Xenopus tropicalis: one gene and its partners. The protein of the gene in region 5 interacts with the protein of the main gene of each other region in a pairwise test. Links are inferred from orthologs where the notes say so. Each region holds a gene or a part of one and is shown on either strand. Other genes may lie near its edges.

Region 1 (2,451 bases), on a different chromosome or scaffold from region 5:
CCTAATTATATCACTGTACCACAGTTACACATACACACACAAGCTGCCACACAGTGTTCTCTGCCTGAATCTGGCCATACATATACCAATAAAATTATACAGTTTTTGGCATGTATAGTGGCTGGATGATCCCGATTGGTAACTATTAACTGACCACGTTAATACAAAGATTTTGCTGCTCTGATCTTTCAGGGATGTTAGACTCAGCAAAAAGAACAATTTAACATTGGCCATACTGTGTACAGCCCCTTGTACAGTATCTGTCCTGCTCATGGGTCAATCAGTAGGATACCATGCGGGACCAGCCCATCTATGGCTGGATTTAGTCTAAGATTTTAGAGGGGTGAACATGAATATGCCTGCCTCAATAGGCCAGTGTGAGTACAGAAGAACAGACACATACCACACATAAAACAACCTAAAATCAGCACATCTTACTGGCAAATCTGCTCATGTAACACACCCCAAACACTCAAGTGACAGGCAAAAACACCTTCCACTTTTAATTCTCTTTCCAACTTTTAATTTTCTCAAAAAGACTTTGATAGGATAAATTCCTGACCAGCAGCAGAATACAAACACTAAATAGCAACTTTAAAAGAGACATGTATTTTCCTCTGGCTGAAAAAAAATGCAGAAGCGCTGAAAATGGCAGTTTTTTTTCTTTATAACAATAATTAAAGCAATAAAAACTTACAAAAAAAACAAAAAAAAAAAAAACAACTTTGTAATATATACAGTCCAAGGCTGAAGCACCTGATCAGTATGTCTAGATTCCAATCGGTTTCCTTTTGCCTGCTTATGGGAGGTGTGTAGCAGCTTTGCAGTATAGAACCTCGACCATGTGACAGGTATTTAATAAAAGGTACCTTCAACCAATCTGAGATCCAGGTTTAAGTGCATTCCCATTGCAAGCTGCAAAGCTCTGCGTGGACAAATTGTCTTTTGTGTTACAGAAATAAGTCCTTAACCTCCAATTTCAGCATATTACATTTCTGATTAAAAGAAGATATACCATAAAAGTCATAGAACTTTCAAACTTTTTTTTTTTTCCTTTCTGTGGCAAGGACACAAGGAATCCGTGATAAATAAAGCAGTACAATGCGGTTTCAGGTTGAAGAATGATGGCAATGAAGGGTGGATTCAGAAAGGTAAGCACCCACTTTGGTACAGTCCAGAGGGCAGACAGTGCACTAGGTTGCTTGTAGTGTCAGATGCAGCCAAAAGTCTGTCAATGAGGGACCCTGGTATGGGATGTGGTGCCAACAGGGAAATCATGTGGTGAAGAAAATGCCCACGGCTTTGCCTTGACTGAGGTTGGTTGTTCTCTCAATCTCTCATAATCCTTTGAGACATGCATGGCACATTCATATATTTATATATATGGATTTTTTTTTTGTTTTTTTTGTTTTTCTCCCAGGGTGGTGCAGAATGTGACAGAAATAGGATGATGTTTCCCAATCCTCCCAGTGAAAAATATTAAATATCGAGATAATAAAATAGATATTTCTATACTGTACGATCAAACCTAGTGCAAGACAAGATGTCACCTGTGGTGGCCTTTGAAGTATCCTCTAGACCACGGCGTTGTGGGCAAAACAAGGCACTTCCTAAAGTGTTCTAGTTCAGCTTGTAATCTCTCTCTTTCTGATGCCACCTTTTGCTTCTGGCTCATCAAGTCCTGTGGGGAGAGATGCATGGTGTAAATAGACTGAACGCAAGAATCTCACCATGTTAAAGGCCAAAATGCCGATAAATCGCATTGACTGTAGAAGCATTTACTGATATACAGCTGGAAAATAAATACAGTCATGGAGCCAAGAATATGTCAATGTCAAGTAGAATAAAGAAAACATTTTGCCTGCACCTCTCTATTACGCTGCTTATCTACTGAACTATCTTAGCAATGGTCCATGCACCTTTCCAGCATAGAGAAACCTTCCACAAAAAGCACTACACTGCTGGCTTGTTTTTTTAAACAATAGCTAGAAAGACTGCACGCCAAAGTATGCTTTTAGTCGTAAGGGGCACTGTGAGAAAAGAAGTTAATAGACAGGGACATCACTTACTGCCATGCGGTGTGACAGCTGTTCAGCTGTCAGACTCAGGTTATAGTGCTGGGATTCTAGTCTTTTACACTGCTTCTCCAGAACCTGCCGTTCTAGGTTTTGTTCTGCAAAGAAAAAAAGTACAATTTAATCCCACTTCAAAGAGATATAAGCAACTGTAATTATGGAGCATAAGTGAAACATAGCTGTGGTAACATGTACATCTGAATCTTTGTAAATACAGCAAGGCACAATAATATGGAATGCTTGTTAACTATATTTATCTGCAAACTAGTAAAGTGCCATAGCATGGAGTAGTCATAATATATTGTTACATTAGAAAACGATTACATTAGAGACGCTTTGCATTATGATGCCCACTCTCCCTGCATTGTACCACACC
Region 2 (3,500 bases), on a different chromosome or scaffold from region 5:
TTTCAGACTGTCATTGGAGTTTCCAATAAAATAAATTACCAAAAAACTGCAAAAAATTTTTGCCAATGCAGGTTAAAGGCTTAAATGAAAAGCCCTAAACAAAAATCACTATTGAAAAAATAAAAAGCAAAAATGAAAACGAATGGGTGTCCAAAAATTGTATCAAGAAAATAAAATGTTATCTTCCCTGGATGAAAGTTGATTAAAGACCTTCCTTTGTAATCACAATAGTCTCCTGATTCACAGCAAGGTAATCATATATCAGTCACCATTAGTGATCAGTGAATCTGTCCCATTTAGCTTCACAGGACAATTTGCGAAACAGAAAAAATTTGCAAAATTTTTTAAAGTCAATGAGTGTTTTTTCATGCAACTTTTTTTTTCCCAACATTGGAATCTATGGGAGATTCTTTGCGGCAAAACCTGCCAAAAAATTTCATTCATCACTAGTCACCATTAATAGCCCTGCTCAGGGGTTCTCACATGTGCATTAAGGAACAGGAACAAAAACACAAGTGTGTAATGCTTCATACATTTTTACCACTATTTTGCCAACGTTGTCGTTTCTACACAATCTTTGTTGCTCAACACACAGCTTAAAACAACAGATTGACTTAAAGAAGAAGGACAGATGAAAACTAAATAAGCTTTATCAGAAAGGATAATAAAAGGTCTATGTAAATACAACCATAAGCACTCACAGAAAAGCTGCACTGAGTCCTCTATCAAAAGAAACACAGTATTTATTGTCTTCTTTTTTGTATATATGTTCTGCTCCATTTCTGCAGTTAATCAGGTGCAATTCAGAAGTGCTGGACATCCTTGTACAGGCATGGCACATGTTGCCATTTGACTCCTGCTACCTTCACCACTAAGAATTACATCTAGTCCTAATCCATAGCTCACTTGCATTTTAGGGTGGCAATAAACTACTTCTACTTCTAGTTCCCCCACTGAAACAATATAATGAGACCGACACAGATTTCTGGAATACTGTTCTGCACTTAATTTTCAGCGAAAGCAGCCTGTAACTCCAGATATACTTATAAAAGTGATAATATGGTTCATAATAGACAGAGCTACATTAAAACCAAATCCAAACTGCTTTTCAAGCTCTACAATATTCTGAAGAGAACAAGAAACACCTACTTGCATCTTCAACTTTCCCTGGTTGATCAGATTTTGCTTCACCTTGTGTTTCCAGTTTCGGCGAGGATTCCAGTGGCTCCAGGATACTCACTGGTGACAGTGGCGCACAGTGGCTCAAGCCTCCATCTCGTGGGAGTGTAAAACTGCGTGGTTTTGCCCCACTACCACTTTGTGCTTGTGATTGTTTACACTCTGCCAAAGAAAAAGGACCATAATGATCTAGAAGATGGCACTTTGGAGCTGGAAGGGTTGACTGTCGTCTGTGATCTGGGGAAACCACAGCTGGCTCCAAAAATACAGAGTCCTCTAGAGGAAGAGTCTGAAGATAATGAAGTCCTGAGCTAGTTAGTGGTGTCTCAATTAAATCCTGCCAGGATCGCCTTTGACTGGCTGTTTTTCTTACTGGAGAATCTGTAGTGCTTCCAGCTGCTTCCTGCCGAAATTCTTCATGCGAGGAATGGGACTGTGAGGTTTCAGTGGAAGACAGCCTGTGTTTTGGTTCCACAAATGGGCTGGCACAACTCATCTACAGGGGAGAAAAAAACCAAGTAAACCTGGGAGGATAAGAACTGCCAATAGACTTGTATTCCAGTTATGATAAAACAATCATGGTTTAAAAAAAATAAAATAAAATAATATTATGTATATATTAAATCAGCTGAAGGGATGCTACACTTTGGCTATTCCCTATTTGGGGGTGAGTGGGGAAACAGCAACTTGGAATTATATGGGAAAAATGCACCAACAGGAATGTTGAAAAACAGCCTGAAGCTAAAAATGTGTAATTCTAGAACCAAGATTGTATATTCATGTACAGGCATGGGTTCTAATATCCAGAATGCTCAGGACCTAGGGTTTCCTGGATAAAGGGTCTTTCTGTAATTTGGATACACTAAAAATTAGATTCAGGCAGATGTTTTAGAATGCCATTCTTTTATCCTCCACTCATCAGGTATACCATCAAGATCACAATGAAGTATTCTAAACTTTAACAACAGAAATTCACTCCAGATATTGTTTCCTTTCTTTTTGATTTAATAGAAGATACCTGAACCTTTAAGTTCAAGGAATATTCTATAGCAGCCTCAATTGGCAGAGAACTCAATCATCTTAAGGATCAGTTCCTTGACAATGTCCTTGTATGATATGTACAATAGTTGTAACAAGCTAGTTAGGCACTCCCATGATTTCATTACCTGTACATAAGCCCCATTTTTATGGACTTTTGCTTTCAGAGCAGCCGTATAGTGTATAGTATTGTATACTGTACATGCTACACAATGTTGTGTCCTTCCCCAGGAGAAACCCAAATGAAGCAGTAGTTTCCTTTATGCAAAGCAAATCTACAAATCTATAAAACTGCTTTAACAAACTGGACAGCCAGGGCAGTATGAAAAAAACATTCCATTTTTAGAGAAAACAAGATACGGAACTTGATTGATAGTTTAATGAATGTTTATGTATTGTAATGGTTCCAACATTATCTTGTCTCTTACCGACAATTAGCAAACATTGTTTGAGGAACTCGCAGCAAAGCACAGAATGTTTTTTTATTTCTCAGATGAAAATTGAGTGCCACTTCTGTTGCTTTTAGGAATTTACTTTGTAGACTGCGCTGTCAGTGTTTCCATGGAAACTAAGAACTTGCATATATTTACATCTTTTACTTCTGGAGTAATGGTTGTCAATTACACTGTCAGTATAAATTAATTCATTTCAGTGAAAAAATGTTCATGTTATATAATAATCTTTTTGTATGCTTTTGGGTTTTGAATAAAGTAAAAAAGCAAATGTAAAATACATGTAAAATACTGATATGAATCGCTGTAGAGCATAATTGCAGATTTAGAACTGTACATGATATACAAGAGCGTAGGAAACATTTCTGTGGTTTTACTCATCCTACACATCTCAAAGAATAGTGGAATAATACTGAGACGTGTCAGGATATATATGTAGATCCCTAGTTTCAGTATTTATGTAGCATGATCATTTTCTGCAATAAGTGTTGTGATGGTTTTAAGCTCAAAAGTAGGAAAACAAGAAAAACAAAGAAACCACATTTAGCAAATTATAAAATATACATCAGAACAGGTTGGCACTTAGATTCTGAGATGGCAAAATGGTTAGGGAGTTTCTTTCTTTGAATTACTGGGAGGCAGACTGTATTTCAGGCAGTTATTAAAATAATACACTTGATAAAGGGTATTGATCCGAAACATGTTGTGTTACCACTACCCACAATAAATGTTTTGCAGTAAACCTGCTGAAGCTTTTTTCCTATTTTTTGGATTTCTACAATTGTATTTGGTTGCAGCACAGAGCAACAACTAGGAGCTAAAGCTTTTTTC
Region 3 (3,769 bases), on a different chromosome or scaffold from region 5:
TTATTAAAAATCATAAAAGAGCTGCATATTTTTCAATTGATGTATATTGCAAAATTGCTTGAAATTGTGTTTGCTTTTCTATATGCTTAAGTTCTTTTTGGGTAGATTTCCCCTTTATGGGATGGTTCCCATGCAAACAAAATGCAAGCAAAGCAGTGATGTAGAAGCTCCCTAGATGCCTAGTAGGGAATCAAACTCTGTTCTTCAATACCTTCTCCTGCCTCACAGACTGAGATTTCACTGGTAAGTTAGATTAAATACAAAGCATTTAGCTTTTAATATACAAAGAAACATCATTGTTTTTAACTGAATGAACAGGAAGGACATGTGTTCAACACAAGTTGTATAAATTGGAATCCCACCAACCCACCTTACAGCTTGGCAACGACTGGGGAACCTGGACCCCCCTGTGAGGGAAAGCAATTAGGAAATGGAGGTTAATGGGTTGTACTGGTACTTGAGACGCCCCATGAAATGTACAGACAAATGACACATGCGAATGAGATTTTCAATATAACCTTTTTATTGAGCAAGGTTCACTTCTACATAACCCATCAACAGGTTGTGTCACAATTCTCCTAGGTTCTCTCATGACCTGCAGTCTGTATTAATTGCACCAGTGAGGTAAACATAAGGATAGATTTCTTTTATTAAGGCGAGAAAACTTCCGTTTCATGGTCTCCCTACCCCCTTTTATTTGGCTCAGTTGGTTCTTTGCATAATTCAGCTGAAGACCCCCAGCTATGCATTGCTTGGACCACAGCCCACGCCCACAGCAACTTAGGAAACCCCCAAATACGTCCTCTTCAGTTACATATCATGCAGTTGATTGTTTTGGGTTTTTTATTTTTTTTTTATGTAAATTCCCCAAGTTGTGTGGGAGGGGCACACCTGGAGCTTGCATGCATTTTTTCCCCACAAATATTGCACAGAAAGTAATATTACAGTGTCTGGAGCCCCCAACCCACGAGAGAACCCCCTTCTGCTAGAAGCCCATTAGAAGCTGTCACTTTCATGCAGTTTATCTTATGGCTTGTTCAGTCCTGCTGCTTGCTGGAATTGCTATACATTTTATCTCACTTGTCCTCAGTAACTTCCTTGACTACTGCATGTGAAGTGACCTTCTCCACCTTCTTAGTGGACACCATCTTCTCTTGCACAGTCTCCTCATGCTCTTCCACCTTTTCTGTGACTGTTACTGACTTGGTGATGTACTTTGTACCATCCTCACCTTCACTTGTTGTGGTTTCTATTTTTTTTGTGATGACTACCGTCTGCTGGGCCTTGCTGCTCTCCTTATCCTCTGACGGGCTGTCATCTTCTAGGCCATTGGTGACCACAGCTTTGTCTTCACTCTCTTCCTTTGCTTCCTCCTCTTCCACATCTCCATTCACTGCTGTATCTTCCTTCCCATCATCCCTCTGGGTACTTTTTTCTTCCTCCTGTTTGGTACCTTCTGTTTCGGATCCTACAGATGCAGCTTTGGACACAGAGATGGTCTCTTCAACACTTTTCTCCTCTGGAGTTTTTGCTTGTTTGTCCTCTCCAGCATCTTCTTCTTCAGCTCCTTCCTCAGTTTCTCCCTTCTCTTCCTCATCTGCCTCTGCCTTCTCTTCCTCCTGTTGCTCAGTGCCCTCATCTGCGTCTTCCTTTTCCTCTCCCCCTTCCTCTTTTTCCCCTGCTTCTTCCTTACCTTCCCCTGTCTCCTCATCCTCGCCTTCATCCTTTTGCTCATCTGCATCTTCCTTCTCTTCCTCCTCAGCTGCTTTTTCCTGCACTGCTGCTTGCTCCCTGACAATCTTAGTCTCTGTCATAACCTCTTCCACTACTTCCTCATCATGTGCCTCCTCAGTGGCTTCCTCTTCTCCCCCCTCTGCTTCCTCTGCCTCTTCCTCCTTTTCTGCCTCCCCTTTTTCTTCCTCAGTTTCTCCTTTACCACCTTCCTCCTCTGCTGCTACCTCTTCCTTTTCCTCCTCCTCTCCTCCTTCTTCTTTTTCCTCATCCTCTTTTCCTTCTTCTTTTTCCTCCTCTACTCCCTCCTCTTTTTCCTCCTCCTCTTCTCCTTTCTCACCCTCTTCCTCCCCCTCTTCTGCCTTAGCTTCTTCTCCCTCAGCTTCTTCCTCTCCTTCCTCTTTCTCTTCCTCTGCTTTTACATCTTCTTCCTCTCCTTGCTCTCCCCCCTCTTCTTCTTCATCTACTTTCTCTCCCTCTTCTTCCCCCTCTTCTCCCTTTTCTTCCTCTTCCTTTTCTCCCTCCTCCTCTACCTTCTCTTCTTCTTCTTCCTCCTCTCCCTCTGCCTCTTCTCCTGGAGCAGCAGCTTGAACACTACTTTCTACAGCTGCTACAATTTCCTCCTCAGCTTCTCCCTCATCCTCTTGTGTCTCCTCTCCCTGTTCCTCTTCTTCCTCTTGCTCTACAAGACCTGCGGCAAAATCATCTGCCATAGCAGCCAGTGCTGCTTCCATATCCTCAACCTTTGTCTCCTCAATAATCTCTTCTACAAATTTATGTTGCACTTTCACCCTTGGTGGCTCTGACCGTGCCTGTTGCACCCGAGTGGAGGACACTATTATTGGGGCTGGCCTGTGAATAGGGGAGGGTCCAGTAGGGACACCAGCGAATGAGAAAAACCGGGTCTCTTCACCCTCCAGAAGTTTCCTAAAAGAAGAAATTAAGATGAAAATGCAATTAATGTTACACACTGCATGGATATCAAATTGAATCTCCCACACTAGACTATAGAACCCACAACCCTCCTTATTATTGAGATGGGAAAGATTAACCCTTATTATATATATATATGTCCCCTCTATCCCACCGCTCTTCGTTTCCCTGCCTCATGAGATATTTATTAACATTGCCAAGTGCGCCTCTGGTTCGCCACTCTAAACCTACAACCATTCTGCCCCCACTCCCTCCCCTCAGCATCTTTTACTCACTCAGTAGTAACAGCTTTCTTCTTAGTATGCACCACTTACAATGCCTTGCAATCATTACACATAATCTTAAGAATTCAGTCTGGCTGCCCCCTAAGCATTTGGCTAAATTCTGCACATTCTGGGTTATGGTGGAATTCTTAACTGAATTCTACATTCTGGGCATCTCTAGACTTTCAGACACTATGATAGTGATCCATTGTGGTAACTATAATAAAAAAATGCAAATGTTCTCAGTTCACATCCCACGTTGAAAAACCACCTAAATGTTATGTAAAATGGGGGAGGTGCATCAGGACAAAGGGATGGCCCTCACTCACACCTTAATTGTTTAACTTAAAGGGTAACTAATGCTTTTATAAAGAGTCCACTAAACTGTAATGGGTGAGTATGTATATTTTTTCACAAATTGGTTTTATTATTTTTTTTCTAATAGTTTTTGAGATATAAAAGGTTTGCTGCTGTGCCTTTCCCATGCTGTGAATAAGCTAACCATGCTGAGTGTCAGAAACACATGGCAAACTGCCGACTCATGCTGGAATGAGCCAAGTAGAGGGGGGGGGGAGGAAATCTGTCAGCGGCTCACAGCATGAGTGCGTTGGTTGCAGCCAGGAGAAATAATATCAAGTTGAATTACATATTTAAACAGCTGAAACAAAAATAATGAACACTATCCAGTACAATTTAGTGTATATTTATAATAGCTCCAGTCTCCATTCAAACAATTCTATAATGTTTAGGGTGGCTTCCTAACGCTTTAGGAGATGGGTCACTTAGAAAGGGGCTCCATGCTGAATGTGTCTGACCCAAGATTTAAACACAAATCATCCTCT
Region 4 (3,500 bases), on a different chromosome or scaffold from region 5:
GTATATATATGTACACACACGCACACACCTCTCTACATCGTCTTGTAATACACTCTTGTTGCCCTTAGTGTTCTTGCACTTGCACCCAGGGGTTGGGGAAATTACCCCTTTTGTCTTACCCAGTATAATCCTGGTGGAAATCCTAATGCATTTTGCTGCATTCATTCTACCATGACAGGCCTACTGCAGAAAAGCAGTGCCACAGCACAAAGCTGCTAGCACTATGTTTCACTGTAAAGATGGTAGGTTTATGAGGATGTACAGTGGCTTACATCAAACACAGGCTTTAGTCTAATGGCCAAACAAGCTCATATCTGGTCTGGACCATATATCCTTCATTCAGTCCATTTCAGAGTCTACCTTGTGCTTCTTGCTAGATGTACAGCTATGCCTACTCTTTTAGTATTGCTTACTGGTTCAACTGTAATATTCAGTGACCATCTATAGACTTTTCCATTACCTTTCTATAGAGTTGGTTGTAGTCTTTTTTTGGTGTGGGTTATTCCATGACACTGCCCTCAACCACACACAACTACACATGAGTGATTTTATGCAACAGTTTTAGTAAATATTTACTGCCACAAATTTTAACAGAAACTAAAATGCCCCAGGTAAGCATCCACCTTCATATATATCAATGAAGACATATTAATTTCCATCCAGGAATACATTAAAATGCCAGCGTGTCAGTGAGGTTACAATTTCTCCGCTTGTATTGGAGCTGAAGGAGTGAATTCCTCAGTTCACTTTGATTCATTCTTTTGGTGCTCATTAACTTGTAAGTAGCATTAGATGGTAGTTAAGTAACAGGGCAAATAATGTTCCCTTTAGATATTGTTTGTATTTCTAACAGTCACTCTTCTCTGCCTATATGGAAAAGTTTGCACAGAAACATTTTTTCTTCCCCCAATTAAGCAACAGGGCAGGGATCCCGAACCTTTTATACCTGTGAGCCACATTCAAATGGAAAAATTGTTGGAGAGCAATACAAGCATGGACAAGTTCCTGGGGGTGCAAATAAGAGATGTAATTGGCTACTTAATAGCCCCTGTGTGGACTGGCAGCCTATAGAAGGCTCTGTTTGGCTTTACAATGAGTTTTATGCAATCAAAACTTGCCTCCAAGCCAGAAATTCCAAAAATTCAAAAATGAGCACCTACTATGAGGCCACTGGGAGCAACATCCAAGGGGTTGGTGAGCAACATGTTACTCACAAACCACTGGTTGGGGAGCACTGATTTAAGGCAATGGGCTTTTGATTAAACCCTTGTTAACTCTTACTCTCTTTACTTTATTGTAATACTTACTTCTATTTTTGCTTTCTCTTTTGTCCTTGTTATCACCATTTCCTGAGGTCGCCATTAATTTGCCATTTCTCTTTCTTTCTCAATTTCAATCTCCTTGTCTCTCCCTCCTTTATTGTTCCTAATATCCCTGTAGCAATACCCTCTCAAGCTTAATAACCATGCTTCAAAAACGAATATTTTATACATTACACACCACTTCAGGCCCTTTCTTAACAGCTTTTTCAAGACACTTTCTGAACTAAGGCTGGCTCACCTGCACTGGGTACTGGTCGATATGAGTGAAATGGCAGTTGTATTCTATTTTATCTATGAACAAAAGACATGGCCATAGCTGGCCTGCAAGTACACGTTACCTGCTAAAGAGATTTTCCTTTATGTTATGTATGATACTTAATAATACAATTAACCTCTCTCTTTTAAGCATGGGGCTATATCGCTTCACTAGTAACTACTACAAATAATAAAAATTAGTGATATACAGACAATGTTTCAAACACAACACTGTCCTGCACAGTTTTACTTATAATTGCTTATAATACTTGTTTTAAAGAGGTGCAATAGTCTGCTAAACCTATAAAGAAAACAAAAAAACAAAAAAAAAACTAAGGGGTTTTTGTTTTAAATGTGAATCTTACCAGTGGTCGGGTTTCTTCTCGTTGCAAAATTTGTTGAGCTTGATCTGTTGGGAACCTCAGCACAGTTGTTATTACCTTTGCCATTGTCTGTGAGGAAATAACATTATAACTGAACATCAACCTGAAGGGCTTGCTGAAACAGACGTGATAGCAGGGCACTGCAGGTAAATTGGCAGATAGATAGGTCTTCCAAACAGAAATGGCAGTAATAGCAGGGAATTAAGGGAAATATGGGGCTTTGAGGTGCAAGGGGCAAGGAGAGCATGAATGTGGGAGACAGCACAACACAGATTGAGTATATATGAGAAAAGAGTGTATGGGGAGAAAGTGCAAGGCAGAAAAAGTAGAAATATGTGAAAAAGTGTAGGGAAGGGAGAATGTGTATGGGGCAGAATAATCAAAGCAGGGAGACTGTACAGAGAAAAGAATGTAGGGTAGAAAAACAGTGTAGGGAGACAAAGCAGTGAAAAAACAGTTTATGGGTGGGGACAGTGTAGGGGCAGAACATGTGGGAGAAAGTGCAGGGCACAATATACAGAAAAGGAAAGTGGGTAGGAAATGTCAGGAAGAGAGTATATGGGGAGGAGAGTACAGGACAGTGAAATAGTGTATGGGGGAGACAATGAAGGGCAGAGGAAACATTTCAGAGAATACAAGGATTAGGATAATTGCACATCTTGCCCCCGCCTTAATGAGAAAACCCACAAACATCATCTATTTTAAACAGGACAAAAATATTCCTACCTTTGTTTCACGCCCCATCATGTACTCAAACATCACCTTTCTTAAGTACTCAAATTCAGTGGGTTCGCCAAAAACAGAAACCCCTGCATGTTGATTATTAACTTCTGAGGGAAGGGAAGAAACAAGAGTATTTAGAAGCACTATTTTACACTACTTTAATGACATTTAGTACATTTCTGTTATCAGTAACCACAGAATAAACTGAATAAGCATTATTAGATCATACGAATGATGTGTTGGAGCCTGCAAAGTGAACTTTATGCACTTGAAATTACAGGCATATCACCAGAAAATATGTGACTATCCTGCATTCATTTCCTCAGCATTACATCAAATTTTAACAGGTTCCAAAAACGCCTTGAAGCTTCTAGTATCTTAGAAATATTATAACTTAGAAAGTTATAATACATTCCCATATACAGTATGTGCCTTAAACCTAGTTATAAGAAAAGAAAAATAAGAAATTTTAAAGGATTTTAAAGAAAATTCCTACCTTTATACGGTGTGCCAATAGGAGTATAAAATACACCACGAGTAAAGTTTTTCACCTGGTCTTCTAGGATGTGAACCTATAGGAATAAGAATGTTTTTGATTTTTCTATTTTTCCTTTTAGGTTTTTTTTTTTTTATTATTATTTTCTGCCAGTCATAACATTTTCATATTCTGGACATTTTCTATTATTTGTGACCATTTTTCTTGTGTGAATACAAAAATGTTTTTTTTTTTTCCAACCACAAATTTCCTATTGGCATCTGTTCTAAAAATATGTGATGCAAAACACAGTATTTTTTTTTTTGCATACTTGCCTTCTCC
Region 5 (3,500 bases):
AAACACTGGGCAGCATTGTATAAATGTATGGTTTAACATGAATTTATCTCTCTAACTGGTGTACTCTCTGCTCTGAATACCCGCTATGTTTCTTTCTTGGTAATTGGTGTCTAAGGTACTAACAATTCTTTTGCTCAATCACTTCTTTCTCCTCGTTTCTTTCTCTTTCACTGCTGCACAACCCAGGAATACATAAGGCGACAATTAGAGGAGGAGCAGAGGCAGTTAGAGATATTGCAACAGCAGTTACTGCAGGAGCAAGCTCTACTTCTGGTAATGGGAGTCATTCCCCAGTTCATTCCTGCCATTGTGTGTTGCATTACCTACTACTTCTTGGTCATATGTCCAAAGTTCTCATCTTTCAGAACAAGTGCCTTGCATGTTGTTGCACTCATTAAAATACTTTGTACCAATATGTTTCATTAAAAATAATACAGAGAGGATCTTCTTCATATTAAAATAGGTTTTCATGATTTGGAACTAAAGGGTTTTTTTCGCATTAGATTTTTACAATACATTTGTGTCTTTTTTTTTTCCTATAAATGTGATAGCATGCCAGAGTGCCATAATCCTTTCAGGGAGAGTCACGGTGATCTAAATGCCCCTGTACTAATCACTATTCTTCCAGAGTATAGTGGCCATTTAATGAATTATAAATTCAGGCATTTTCACTTTCTGCTAACATTTGTACTACTGCAACATTTGCTTAATATATTTCCTTAAATGGTCAGGTCACCCGATAATGACAGATGAATAGAACAATAAAATATATTCGTAACAACTCAAATCTAAACTCGAGATTAGTCCGCTTTTTGGTTGTCAATGATCCAAACAAGCATAATATATATATATAATATGCAGAAATGGGATTGTCTTCTGCATGTTGTCTTTTTGTTTGGTGATTGCTCCTCCATGCTCCTATTATATATAGTGATAACACAAACAAACTATATACAAATATACAAACCAAATATATTAAATATAGTGAGAAGGATTGGTTCCTCACAGCACAGACCCCTTCACCCTTCAAAAAGCAGGTTATCTGAAGCTTGGAGAAAGCAGGTTTCAATGCCGTATATATCAAAATGAAGTCAGAAATTATTTGCATTGCTAAAAATGCTCCCATGCGCTACGTAGTGGTAGTTATGAGAATAGTATCCAAGCAGGAGAAATAGGAAGCCAAGTTGGGAAATAATTTTGAATATTACAAACCATAGCTTATCTGAAAGCAGTTTTATTGTTTAGTGCAGGCTCAGGCACAATGACCCTAGATGTCTGCCTACATATTACTACTAAAAATACATTATTGGTTCAATAATGACATTTCTTAAAAGTGAAAATGAATTATTTGCAATGTAAACAGTGTAATTTAGTGAAAAAACTATGCCATAAAAATCACTTTAATAAAGTAGGGCCAGGCTAACAGATTTGCAACTAAAGGCAAATGAATCATGTCTAGAAATAAGTTTATTCCTTGCGCATTGCCATTGCATGTAATTATGGCTTGTAAAGCCTTGGCCTGCAAGGTAATGGAATGCTGTGTAGCCTTTTGTTCAGCAAAGCTGTCAGTTGCTGTTGTGCCTCACAAACCCACACCTTTGTTCTCATGAAGCAGAATTATGGCTGTTGTGCTCCCTAGGAGAGCTGTGCTCGCTTTAGGCTTTGCAGAATTAGCATTGAGCAAAAGGACTAAGGATGCTTCAGTGGTTCTTGCATAGCCGCGTATGACTTGGCGGGTTGTTCATATGCCGTAGGCACACCATTCCTCTGCCAACAACAGCAATTATCATAGATGGGAAGTCAGTGGGACAAACTTATTATACGTATCCAGCTGAAATCACCTTCTTTGATATCAAAGACTGTTACCATCCTGTTACGTCATTAAAACGATTTGTGAAACAAAATGTTCTTTTTTCCTGTTTATTTAAACCCACATAACATCCCAGTTTTACTTACAATGGAAATAATGTAGCTGGTTTTAAATAAGCCTTTATTAAAAACCAAGTCGTGAATTGAAAACGTTTTAACTTCACCTTTTAAGATAACACCCTTAAAGAATTTCTTATGCTTTATTGGAGAGGCCACTTTTTTGTTTATGTTGGAGCAAGTCTGAGTGTAGTTTGCTTTCCAGGCTAACTTGCCACTGTTTTTGCATTTTCTCCACAAAGTTCAGATTCCTACCTTTTAAATACTTTCTTTTTATTTTCACTTGACATCCTATAATAAGGTCAAACATCTTGGCATTCTATTTTGTGGAGAAAAACAAACCTATTCAGAAAAGTCTCTGGTGGGTTGGTTGCAACAATTAGAAATGGGCCAAAGAGTCAACATCTGCCTTGTGACTGATTTTTACCTACCTTTCCTTAAAGGAGTATAAGCGTAAGCAGTTGGAAGAACAGAGACAAGCAGAGCGACTTCAGAGACAGCTTCAGCAAGAGCGAGATTACCTAGTTTCTCTCCAGCAACAACAACAGCAGCAACAGAGGTCATCTGAGAAGAAACCACTCTATCATTACAAAGAAGGGCTAAACCCTGCAGAGAAACCAGCATGGGCAAAAGAGGTATGGCAGCCATTGTGCCCCAACTGGGCTAACAGAACTCAGCATGAAATAGTAACATAATTGCTTGACCGATTGGGTGTATTTCAAGTATTAATAATTTTTGAATGTTTCATCAATGTTTATTCTTTAATAACAGGCTGGGTAGGATTCAGTGTGACTGTAACTTACACAGCTCCAAACCTAGAATGTAGGCTGACATCATGTACTGCAGATACTGGTTAGTATTAAAGTGCTGAAAATACTCCCTCTGTCCACTGGGGAGCGCTGGGTACCTCTGTAAGATTAAATTCTCGTTGGACATCAATTACAACTTGCTGTATTTGATTTAATGGCCATGAAGAATACAAATGAACATTTTAAAGCTGATGAATGTGAATTAAATATTTTAGATTATTTCTAGTAGCATCCGAAAGGTAAGGAAAGTATTTAACCTAAACAAAGCCTTGTGGGGGGAGGGTCATTGTGTTCATATATCAGAAGTTTTGCTTTTAGCTTTTTGATGTTGGCGTTAGGGTTGACTGATGGTAGCTCAATGAGTTCCTTATACCTAACCATCCTTGGATCTTTGCATCTGTAGTATGCCATAGGGTCCACTTGATTTTTAAATGTATACTTGGGGGAGTAAATGCTTCAAGTCCCTGCTTGGGTATATATAGCAGAGGTCAATGAAGAAGGCAGATCCTAGCAAGGTTATGAGGAATTACTCCTTCCAAAACCCTTGAATACGTTTTATTTGAAGGAAAAATAAGATAGTCTCTGTGGAATATTATTTCTTAATCAGGAGTTGAAGAGATGAAAGGACAATTTTTTTTTTTTTATAAATGCCAAAATATTTTACATTTTAGAAAAATTGTGATGCAGTCACAAGTGAATAAACCCTCTCATTATAAGTGTTCTGAATAGGAGTCCTCTGTATTTATTATTTTAAATTATCTCCTC
Region 6 (3,500 bases), on a different chromosome or scaffold from region 5:
AAGGACATATTGGATAAATGGGAAAAACCCTAATTTTGTAGGCAATTATGAATAATATATGGTGCTGGTTTCACTTTGTGCTAAAAATGAATCCTCTCTGTAAAAATGGCCCCTTTATTGCAGCTCCCTATAGATTGTATCACTTCTCTGTCCAGTGTGAAATGAAGAGTGGGCGTGTCCTAACAGTCCCTGCCAGAAGCACAGGTAGAGGGGGACTAGCCAATCACAGCCCTGCACTCACACAAGCACAGACAGGCTTCAGTTCCCTATCAGGTCATACTAGCTGCTGATTGGTTCCTATCCTACAGTGCAGTGTACGGAGGGCCGCCGGCTCCCCAGCTCATCCAGAGAATTCAGCCAGCAGGAAGTGTAACAGATGGGCGGGGCTAGTGGGGTTTTTGTGGAATTTCTCAATAAATCAGTCTGAAACACAACTTTTTAAAGCACAATCCTTCTATATTTAGAGGAGTACAATTCACTGGTACATTCTTAATTTTTATAGGATATGTCTCCTTTAATGTCTCTTGACAACCAAAGGATTATTTCTCTAATGACTTGTGTTGTAGTAAACACTTCTGCCATTCCCTTGACATATAGCAGGGATCTACAACCTGTGGTTCTCCAGCTGTGGTTGAACTACAATTCCCAGAAGCCCCTGACAAGCAGCAGCTGTAGGGAGTTGTATTTTAGCCAGAGAAATGCAGGTTGCAGCTTTAGTCAAACAATAGCACTGCAGCATGTTTTTAACAGAACAATATACAATTGTTGATTAAAAATCTGGCAGTGATATATAGTGTCACTCAGGCTGATGGGAGAGGGGCACAGCTAGCAATCCTACAACATGACTAACTATGTGTACAGCCCAGTCCAATTCATGCAGCTGGACTCCAAGCTAACGATAAACCGTATCAGATGTCGGCTGACAAACAATAGATCACGCTGAGCTCCCACAGGACCATCCCGTCTGCCTGTTTTTCTCACTATGAATGACATTATACAGTGATGTCATTTACACTAAAGCCAAAGAACGAAGTAATTGCAGTTGACCCAAAACCACATGAGTTGCCTTTAACACAGTAAGAGGGAAAACACACTTTACATTGTGCTTTAATATTAATAGCAGAGAGGCAACATGGCAGTTACATACAAAGCAGTACTGGATAAGAAGGACTGCCTGTCTTAGCTATCAAGGCCCGCTGGGGCTCATTTAAAAGCACAGGTGATAAATGGTTACACGGCAGAGGCCCAGAGCAACCAATCAGGATTTATTTTTAATTCTCTACAGCTGAATATGTAAGGAACACAAGAGCCTCCAGTTTGGCCACTAGCAGCCAAACATTCAGAGCTTCAGGCTGTCGATGTCCCCTTCAACCCATTCATGCATTATTGTAGAATGATTCAATTCTTTACCAGTCCCATGAGAGCTGATTCCTCACAGTGGTACATGTATGTTGTCACAGTCCAGTGTAGTGTGCTGATGTCTCAGCTCTATAGTGATTTAATTTCTCTGCCCACCCTGACCATATACATAACTGAATTAATAGCCCAGTGGTCAATGTGTATGGTTAGGGTTATTAACTCAACTTTCAAGTAGGACACTCATTTAATACTCATGATGCAAGTTAGATGCAAGGTTCAAGGAATTATGTGAAGTTATGCATTGAACTTGCAAAATGTGTATTTAATAAAAGTGTGCTACTTTAAAGGTGTGAGATGACCATCTCCAGATTCAGTTGTTTGGCTAGGGTTCCCAACGAGCAGATCTTTGCCTAATATGGCCACCTTGTTTTGGATGGTATTGGGCTTATAGGGTCAAACTACTGGAACATATTAAGCGGCAGTGCTGACCAATGATGTTCCCATCCTTACATGATTTTTAAACCTGTCCGATAGATAAATGCCCAATTTTCGACTAGATACAATATTTATTGAACAGGGCCCATACACGGCAGATAAGCTGTCGACTCTGTTTGAAGAGGCTGAAATTTCGGTGGATCAACGAGATAACCAATATCAGCAAAAGCCTCAGATATCAGTCGTCTCGTCAACTGGGCAGGACTAAAGATTTTGATCGGGCGGTTGCGTTTAGGGCTGAATCATCAGATAGGGGTAGAATTCTTATTGTTTCTTCCTCCATATCTGACAATTCAGCCCTAAACGTCTATGGAGGGTACCAACGATCTTGTGGTCACAGGAAAGATTGTAATTGTAATGTGTATGGCCAGTTTAACTTTGCTGTGTGCTTTACACTAGTGAGATGAAAGCAAATTGCTGATTGGTGGTTACTATACTGATGCAACTAAAGGTGGCCATACACGGGCCGATTCTAGCTGCCGATATCGGTCCCTTAGACCAATTCAGCAGCCAATCGGCCCGTGTATGGGCACTACTAATGGGCCTGCCCGACCGATATCTGGCCTGAAATCGGTTGCTAGGGTTAATGTGATACTAGCAACTAGAATACAACAGAATGTATTTGAATGTGAATATACATTTTAATACAGTAAAACATAATCCCCTTTTTATATCTGTAAATAAAACTGCTAAAAGAAAAATACCTGTGTGTACTGGGCAGAGTGCACCTATGGGCCCTGCTTCCATCCTTCTTTGGAAGAAATATTTCTGCACATATTTAATCCTAACTGGTTAGCCCTGTGTGCTTTCAGTCTATCTTAGCCACTAATGGATAGAGACCATGCACAATAAAATGTGTCCACTAATCTGTACCAGATGGAGAGAAACTGCCAACAGCTGAGATTAAAAAACAGTTCCCCAGCACTCTACATAGATAAAGTTTAATATGAGTTTCAACATAACATGGCAATGTATGTACAACATAGCAGTGTCTGTACGGGAAAAAGAGAAACATTAAAGTGTCACTGGTCCTATGAATAGTAAAGGGCATTAACAGACAGGGTTGCATGACGGCTTGGGTTGCATTCACTGTATACACATATTACTGACCCATGGTTGCTATGAATTGATGAAAGCCCCTCTAATCAAGAGGAAAAATAGTTCTGAAGATTTAATGGTAGGACTTTTACAATGGTAGCAGCCCCTTTTACCTTGCCAAGAGGGAGTTAATGTAGTCAGGGGTTGTTGGGTCTGGACTCAGAGGTGGTGATGTCACAAATGCAGCTGCTTTAGCCCAGTTCTTGCTCCAATAGTGTGTTCCATCTGTGCCCAGGCTGGCAGTGATTGGTTCACCAAAAACAACATAGCCTGAAAATAAGAAAATGTAAATATTTTTTTTTTTTTACAAATGGAATTTACTCTCACCTCTAACATTTATTTGCCCAAATTCTACATGATTACAGCTGCAATTAAGACATTATGTGCCTTATTGGCTTAGTGCTTGTACATGCTGAATGGCATGAATGGCAATGCCAATGGCACAGATTGCTATTCTTTCAATAATTTTTAATATGGTCAGATGTCTTTCTTAAAAAGAGGTTTAGTTATTTTCCTTTTGATTTTAACTTGACTCCAGTGACTGATTA
Region 7 (3,970 bases), on a different chromosome or scaffold from region 5:
AAGTTCCATTCTTACTTATACTTGGTTCACTTTAGTCACTTTAGTCACCTTTAGCAACTATACAGTGTACTGTGGAAACAGGACCTACTACCTAGACCAGATGTTCAGGAGGAAGAGTTATTAGTCAGATGAAATGCAACGTCTTAACAGATACCCACCCAGGAAGGAAGGCTGGAAGAGTGCCTCTGGGCATCTAAACCTCTCATTTCCAATTGTAATTACTTGTCCATCAGGCAGTTCGTAGCTCTTTTCCAAGGATGAGGAGGATGCAGCAGTTGCCATCTCTTGTTCAAAGTCAAGAGCAACATAGCAGAGTTTCTCCTTGATGTCACGCACAATTTCTCTCTCAGCTGTGGTGGTGAAGCTGTAGCCTCTTTCGGTCAGGATTTTCATGAGGTAGTCTGTCAGGTCACGACCAGCCAAGTCCAGACGCAGGATAGCATGGGGCAAGGCATAACCTTCATAAATGGGTACTGTGTGGGTGACACCATCTCCAGAGTCCATCACGATACCAGTGGTACGACCAGAGGCATACAGAGACAGCACAGCTTGAATGGCGACATACATAGCTGGGGTGTTGAAAGTCTCAAACATGATCTAAGGGATACATGAGAACAATGTTAATTCTAAAAATCAAGACGAGTTAGAACCCCAAACCATGCCAGCATGCCATCATGCAAAACAAAGAGATAGATGTGTAGAAAAACAGAACAAGCAGAAATAAACCAATGAAACAGAAACCTGAGACTTCAGGAGGGAAATGCCAGGAGAGGTACAGAGCCCTGAAAATATTGAAAGAAAATTGGAGTTTGAGAAATAAGAATGAAGTGTACAAGAACTACCCCAAAATAAGTGTATTTGGGCCTTCCACTGAAAACAAACCTGTGTCATCTTTTCTCTGTTGGCTTTGGGGTTCAGGGGAGCTTCTGTAAGCAGGACTGGGTGCTCTTCAGGGGCTACACGAAGCTCATTGTAGAAGGTGTGATGCCAAATCTTCTCCATATCATCCCAGTTTGTAACAATTCCGTGTTCAATTGGATACTTAAGGGTAAGGATACCCCTCTTGCTTTGGGCTTCATCACCTACATAGCTGTCCTTCTGGCCCATACCAACCATTACACCCTAAAACAAAAAGAACAGTAAGTCAGCCCAAGAAAAAAAATTTAAGCTGCATTTGCTGGATGAAGGATTAAAGCATCACTTATATATACCTGGTGTCTTGGGCGTCCAACAATAGAGGGGAACACAGCACGGGGAGCATCATCTCCAGCAAAGCCGGCTTTGCACATTCCAGAGCCATTGTCAACGACGAGTGCTGCAATTTCCTCATCCATTTTATTTCTGTGTGGTAAACAAACAGATCATCATAAGCAAAATAAGGGACTGGCTATTTATCTCAGTCAGTAGCCACAACCTCACTCCGTACACAGCTAAGCCATTTGTAGGCAAGTGTACCAACAGTAAGGCATAGTAACCGTTTAATCCACTTCAGCCCCACCCTACCATGAGCGACAAGCGTTAAACACTTGTTTCTTAAGTAAAAAGATTAATCATGAATTATGTGGAAAGTTTGTACACTGAAAGCTGTACAAGGTAACAGGGAATATCCCACAGCTGATTAACAGCATTAATAGTAACACAATCAACACTTCTATGATTAGATAATCGTTTAATGAAAGGCTAAGGCAGCCCTTTTCATAGGCTAAAGACTTGAGGCAAGTGGTACAGCCAGTCACGCCCTGTTATTCCCCTCAATAGGGAAAGGGCACACCACAAAAAAAAAAAAAAAAAAAACACAAAAAGGCTACAAGACTTCAGCTGTCAGGCTAACAATACAGTGTAGCTATCCAAGCAATATAGAACATTTACAAAAATGACAGGATGTAAAGCACACAATCACCCAAGTTATTTGTATTTAAGAACAGCTGCCCATACTGCAGAATCTTTAATTTAATATAGTTATAAATAAACATAATAGAATAGATTTCTCTGACTCGCCCTAGTGTTAACCCCCGCCCTTACTTTATACAACGCAGGAGCCGGTACCGGCTAATGAACAGCAGCCCCACCCCTAGAACTGGTGTGATGTTTAAATCTGCCCTGACTGCTCGCTCAGCCAATCACAGAGCTCTTGCCCTAATATGGAAGCAGAATGCAGCAGCCACGCCCTGCCGCTGAAACAAAAAGCTACAAGCTTCAAACTCGTGGGCGTGGCCAACAGAGGTGGGGTGACTCATACAAGTAACTGGGGGGGGGAGGCGAGAAATAGCTTCACCCCTACCCTTTAGAATGGTGCAGCCCGTCATGCTATCGCAGGGAAACCCGCGCAAACTTCTAGCCATAAGGGAGGGAAGCCACCTCCGAACGGCGACTGACACCAGAGCCATATAGTTCTGTACATAGCCATATTAACATCATTCGGCACCCAGGGTAACCAGAAGTATGACAAGGGCCAGATATGTATATAGAATATGCCTATTTTAAAATAGAATATCGCAGGGCATTGTAACACATTAAGATCAACAGCAGCTTTTTAGGAGAACAAGTTAAGCGTGCATTACTGGAGACTTACAAATATCCAAGCCACAGACAATACGGTCATGTAACAATATATAGACAGAACACTACCACACGCTATCCCGGCCAACGGTACCCCATAAGACTTCTTCCGCCCACCACCCACACACAGCCGTAAGACATTGTCTAAGGTCTTACCTTGGTGCTGGAGGTTTCCTTAAGAGGAGAAATGCAAAGCTGGCAAGTTGTTACAAAGAGCGGGAAGTAGCTGTCAAGTCCGCTGCCACCGGCTGAATGAGAACCCAGTAGCGGCCGTTATCTCTATTTAACGTCACAGGCTTCCAGCCCCGCCTGCTGCCGCACAGACAGAAGATCGCCAAATATGGGCATCTTTCAGAAACACGCCTCGCCATTGGTTGCTTGGTTGGGAGAAGAGGCGGGACCGGAGTCCTGGCCCTACGTCCACCCGGAACCCCTGAAGTTACATGCGCTTATGAGCAATAGGGAGGCGTGTAAGGCCTGGCCGTGTTAGAGCAGGAAAGCCGCTACCCTTGCACATATATGTTACTATTACTTGAAACATTTCTCTAAAATGTATTGTAAAATACAGGGAAACATCGTAGTCCGGGGATTTCTAACTCTCAAGTTCTTATGCGGTGGGACAGTGAGATACGGATTACTGGGGTAGCGGAGGTTGCTGGGAAGCGTAGTTAACAATAGCAGGCGAGCGTGGTGCCACTATGGCCAAAGGGAAGGATGGAAATACCTTTTAAGGTCATGTTTTTTTCCTTAGGTGTTTCATTGTCCTTATACAGAGGGTGTGCATTTTCCTACAGTATACCCAATAGGAACACATTACATCCTTGAAACTTTATTTTTATTTCTTTATCTAAAATTAGAGTGGGATCTGGTCGAATTCCAAGCCCAGGGAGTTTTGTAAATAAAGTGCTAAGTGATACATGGGCTAAACCCTATATAGATATAACACAAATGCATGGATTGCCTATAGACAGGATATTAAAGGGCGTGGTTCTACTACATACCCCCTTTAGGTACCTTGCTGGGAAATGCTTTATTTTGTATTCTCTGAAGCCTCAGGTGCTTGAGCATTCTCCCTTTAGGGCTAAGATGGAAGGAATACATTCAGGGTGGGACTGCTGGGAAGTGAGCTCAGTCTTGCATGTCACATTACCTTAAACAGAACTTTCTAAAGAACAATCCCTGAAGGCAAGGGCTGCTTGGTGGGTACATTGCCAGATTATAAAGACAGATTCATTAAAGATGTTCGGAACAAATTGGAATAGACATTACACATATAGAGAGGGAATGGCTTAGGAATTGCAGCAGTTGTTAGAGGGAAGCTTACTTGCAGAATATCCTGTATAGTGACAGTCATGTGTTTGGCTTCATGCAGAAAATGTTGTTATGGTGAAACAAAGTTCATGGTACGTTA

What was found.
Region 1: the proteins of tnik (region 5) and gse1 interact in a two-hybrid assay, tested with the Homo sapiens proteins (2 studies listed by BioGRID and IntAct). The link is inferred for Xenopus tropicalis from reciprocal best matches to the Homo sapiens genes TNIK and GSE1.
Region 2: the proteins of tnik (region 5) and cnksr2 interact in a two-hybrid assay, tested with the Homo sapiens proteins (2 studies listed by BioGRID and IntAct). The link is inferred for Xenopus tropicalis from reciprocal best matches to the Homo sapiens genes TNIK and CNKSR2.
Region 3: the proteins of tnik (region 5) and nefm interact in a two-hybrid assay, tested with the Homo sapiens proteins (2 studies listed by BioGRID and IntAct). The link is inferred for Xenopus tropicalis from reciprocal best matches to the Homo sapiens genes TNIK and NEFM.
Region 4: the proteins of tnik (region 5) and golga4 interact in a two-hybrid assay, tested with the Homo sapiens proteins (2 studies listed by BioGRID and IntAct). The link is inferred for Xenopus tropicalis from reciprocal best matches to the Homo sapiens genes TNIK and GOLGA4.
Region 6: the proteins of tnik (region 5) and dpysl3 interact in a two-hybrid assay, tested with the Homo sapiens proteins (2 studies listed by BioGRID and IntAct). The link is inferred for Xenopus tropicalis from reciprocal best matches to the Homo sapiens genes TNIK and DPYSL3.
Region 7: the proteins of tnik (region 5) and actg1 interact in a two-hybrid assay, tested with the Homo sapiens proteins (2 studies listed by BioGRID and IntAct). The link is inferred for Xenopus tropicalis from reciprocal best matches to the Homo sapiens genes TNIK and ACTG1.

What each region holds. Positions count from the first base shown.
Region 1 is NC_030680.2:64,862,414-64,864,864, forward strand, and holds the end of gse1 (genetic suppressor element 1), read right to left. Parts: intron 2,174-2,451; coding exon 2,070-2,173; intron 1,682-2,069; coding exon 1,547-1,681; 3' UTR 501-1,546; downstream 1-500.
Region 2 is NC_030678.2:44,236,940-44,240,439, reverse strand, and holds part of cnksr2 (connector enhancer of kinase suppressor of ras 2), read right to left. Parts: intron 1,676-3,500; coding exon 1,150-1,675; intron 1-1,149.
Region 3 is NC_030679.2:127,631,092-127,634,860, reverse strand, and holds the end of nefm (neurofilament medium polypeptide), read right to left. Parts: intron 2,659-3,769; coding exon 1,077-2,658; 3' UTR 501-1,076; downstream 1-500. UniProt on the Homo sapiens protein: Neurofilaments usually contain three intermediate filament proteins: NEFL, NEFM, and NEFH which are involved in the maintenance of neuronal caliber.
Region 4 is NC_030682.2:60,998,364-61,001,863, reverse strand, and holds part of golga4 (golgin subfamily A member 4), read right to left. Parts: coding exon 3,494-3,500; intron 3,256-3,493; coding exon 3,180-3,255; intron 2,791-3,179; coding exon 2,687-2,790; intron 2,030-2,686; coding exon 1,943-2,029; intron 1,435-1,942; exon of another isoform or gene 1,308-1,434; intron 1-1,307. UniProt on the Homo sapiens protein: Involved in vesicular trafficking at the Golgi apparatus level. May play a role in delivery of transport vesicles containing GPI-linked proteins from the trans-Golgi network through its interaction with MACF1. Involved in endosome-to-Golgi trafficking.
Region 5 is NC_030681.2:111,604,333-111,607,832, forward strand, and holds part of tnik (TRAF2 and NCK-interacting protein kinase), read left to right. Parts: intron 1-186; coding exon 187-273; intron 274-2,369; coding exon 2,370-2,561; intron 2,562-3,500. UniProt on the Homo sapiens protein: Serine/threonine kinase that acts as an essential activator of the Wnt signaling pathway. Recruited to promoters of Wnt target genes and required to activate their expression. May act by phosphorylating TCF4/TCF7L2.
Region 6 is NC_030679.2:43,705,197-43,708,696, reverse strand, and holds part of dpysl3 (dihydropyrimidinase-related protein 3), read right to left. Parts: intron 3,223-3,500; coding exon 3,066-3,222; intron 1-3,065.
Region 7 is NC_030686.2:28,628,393-28,632,362, forward strand, and holds the start of actg1 (actin, cytoplasmic 2), read right to left. Parts: upstream 2,801-3,970; 5' UTR 2,716-2,800; intron 1,342-2,715; 5' UTR 1,335-1,341; coding exon 1,212-1,334; intron 1,123-1,211; coding exon 883-1,122; intron 598-882; coding exon 159-597; intron 1-158. UniProt on the Homo sapiens protein: Actins are highly conserved proteins that are involved in various types of cell motility and are ubiquitously expressed in all eukaryotic cells.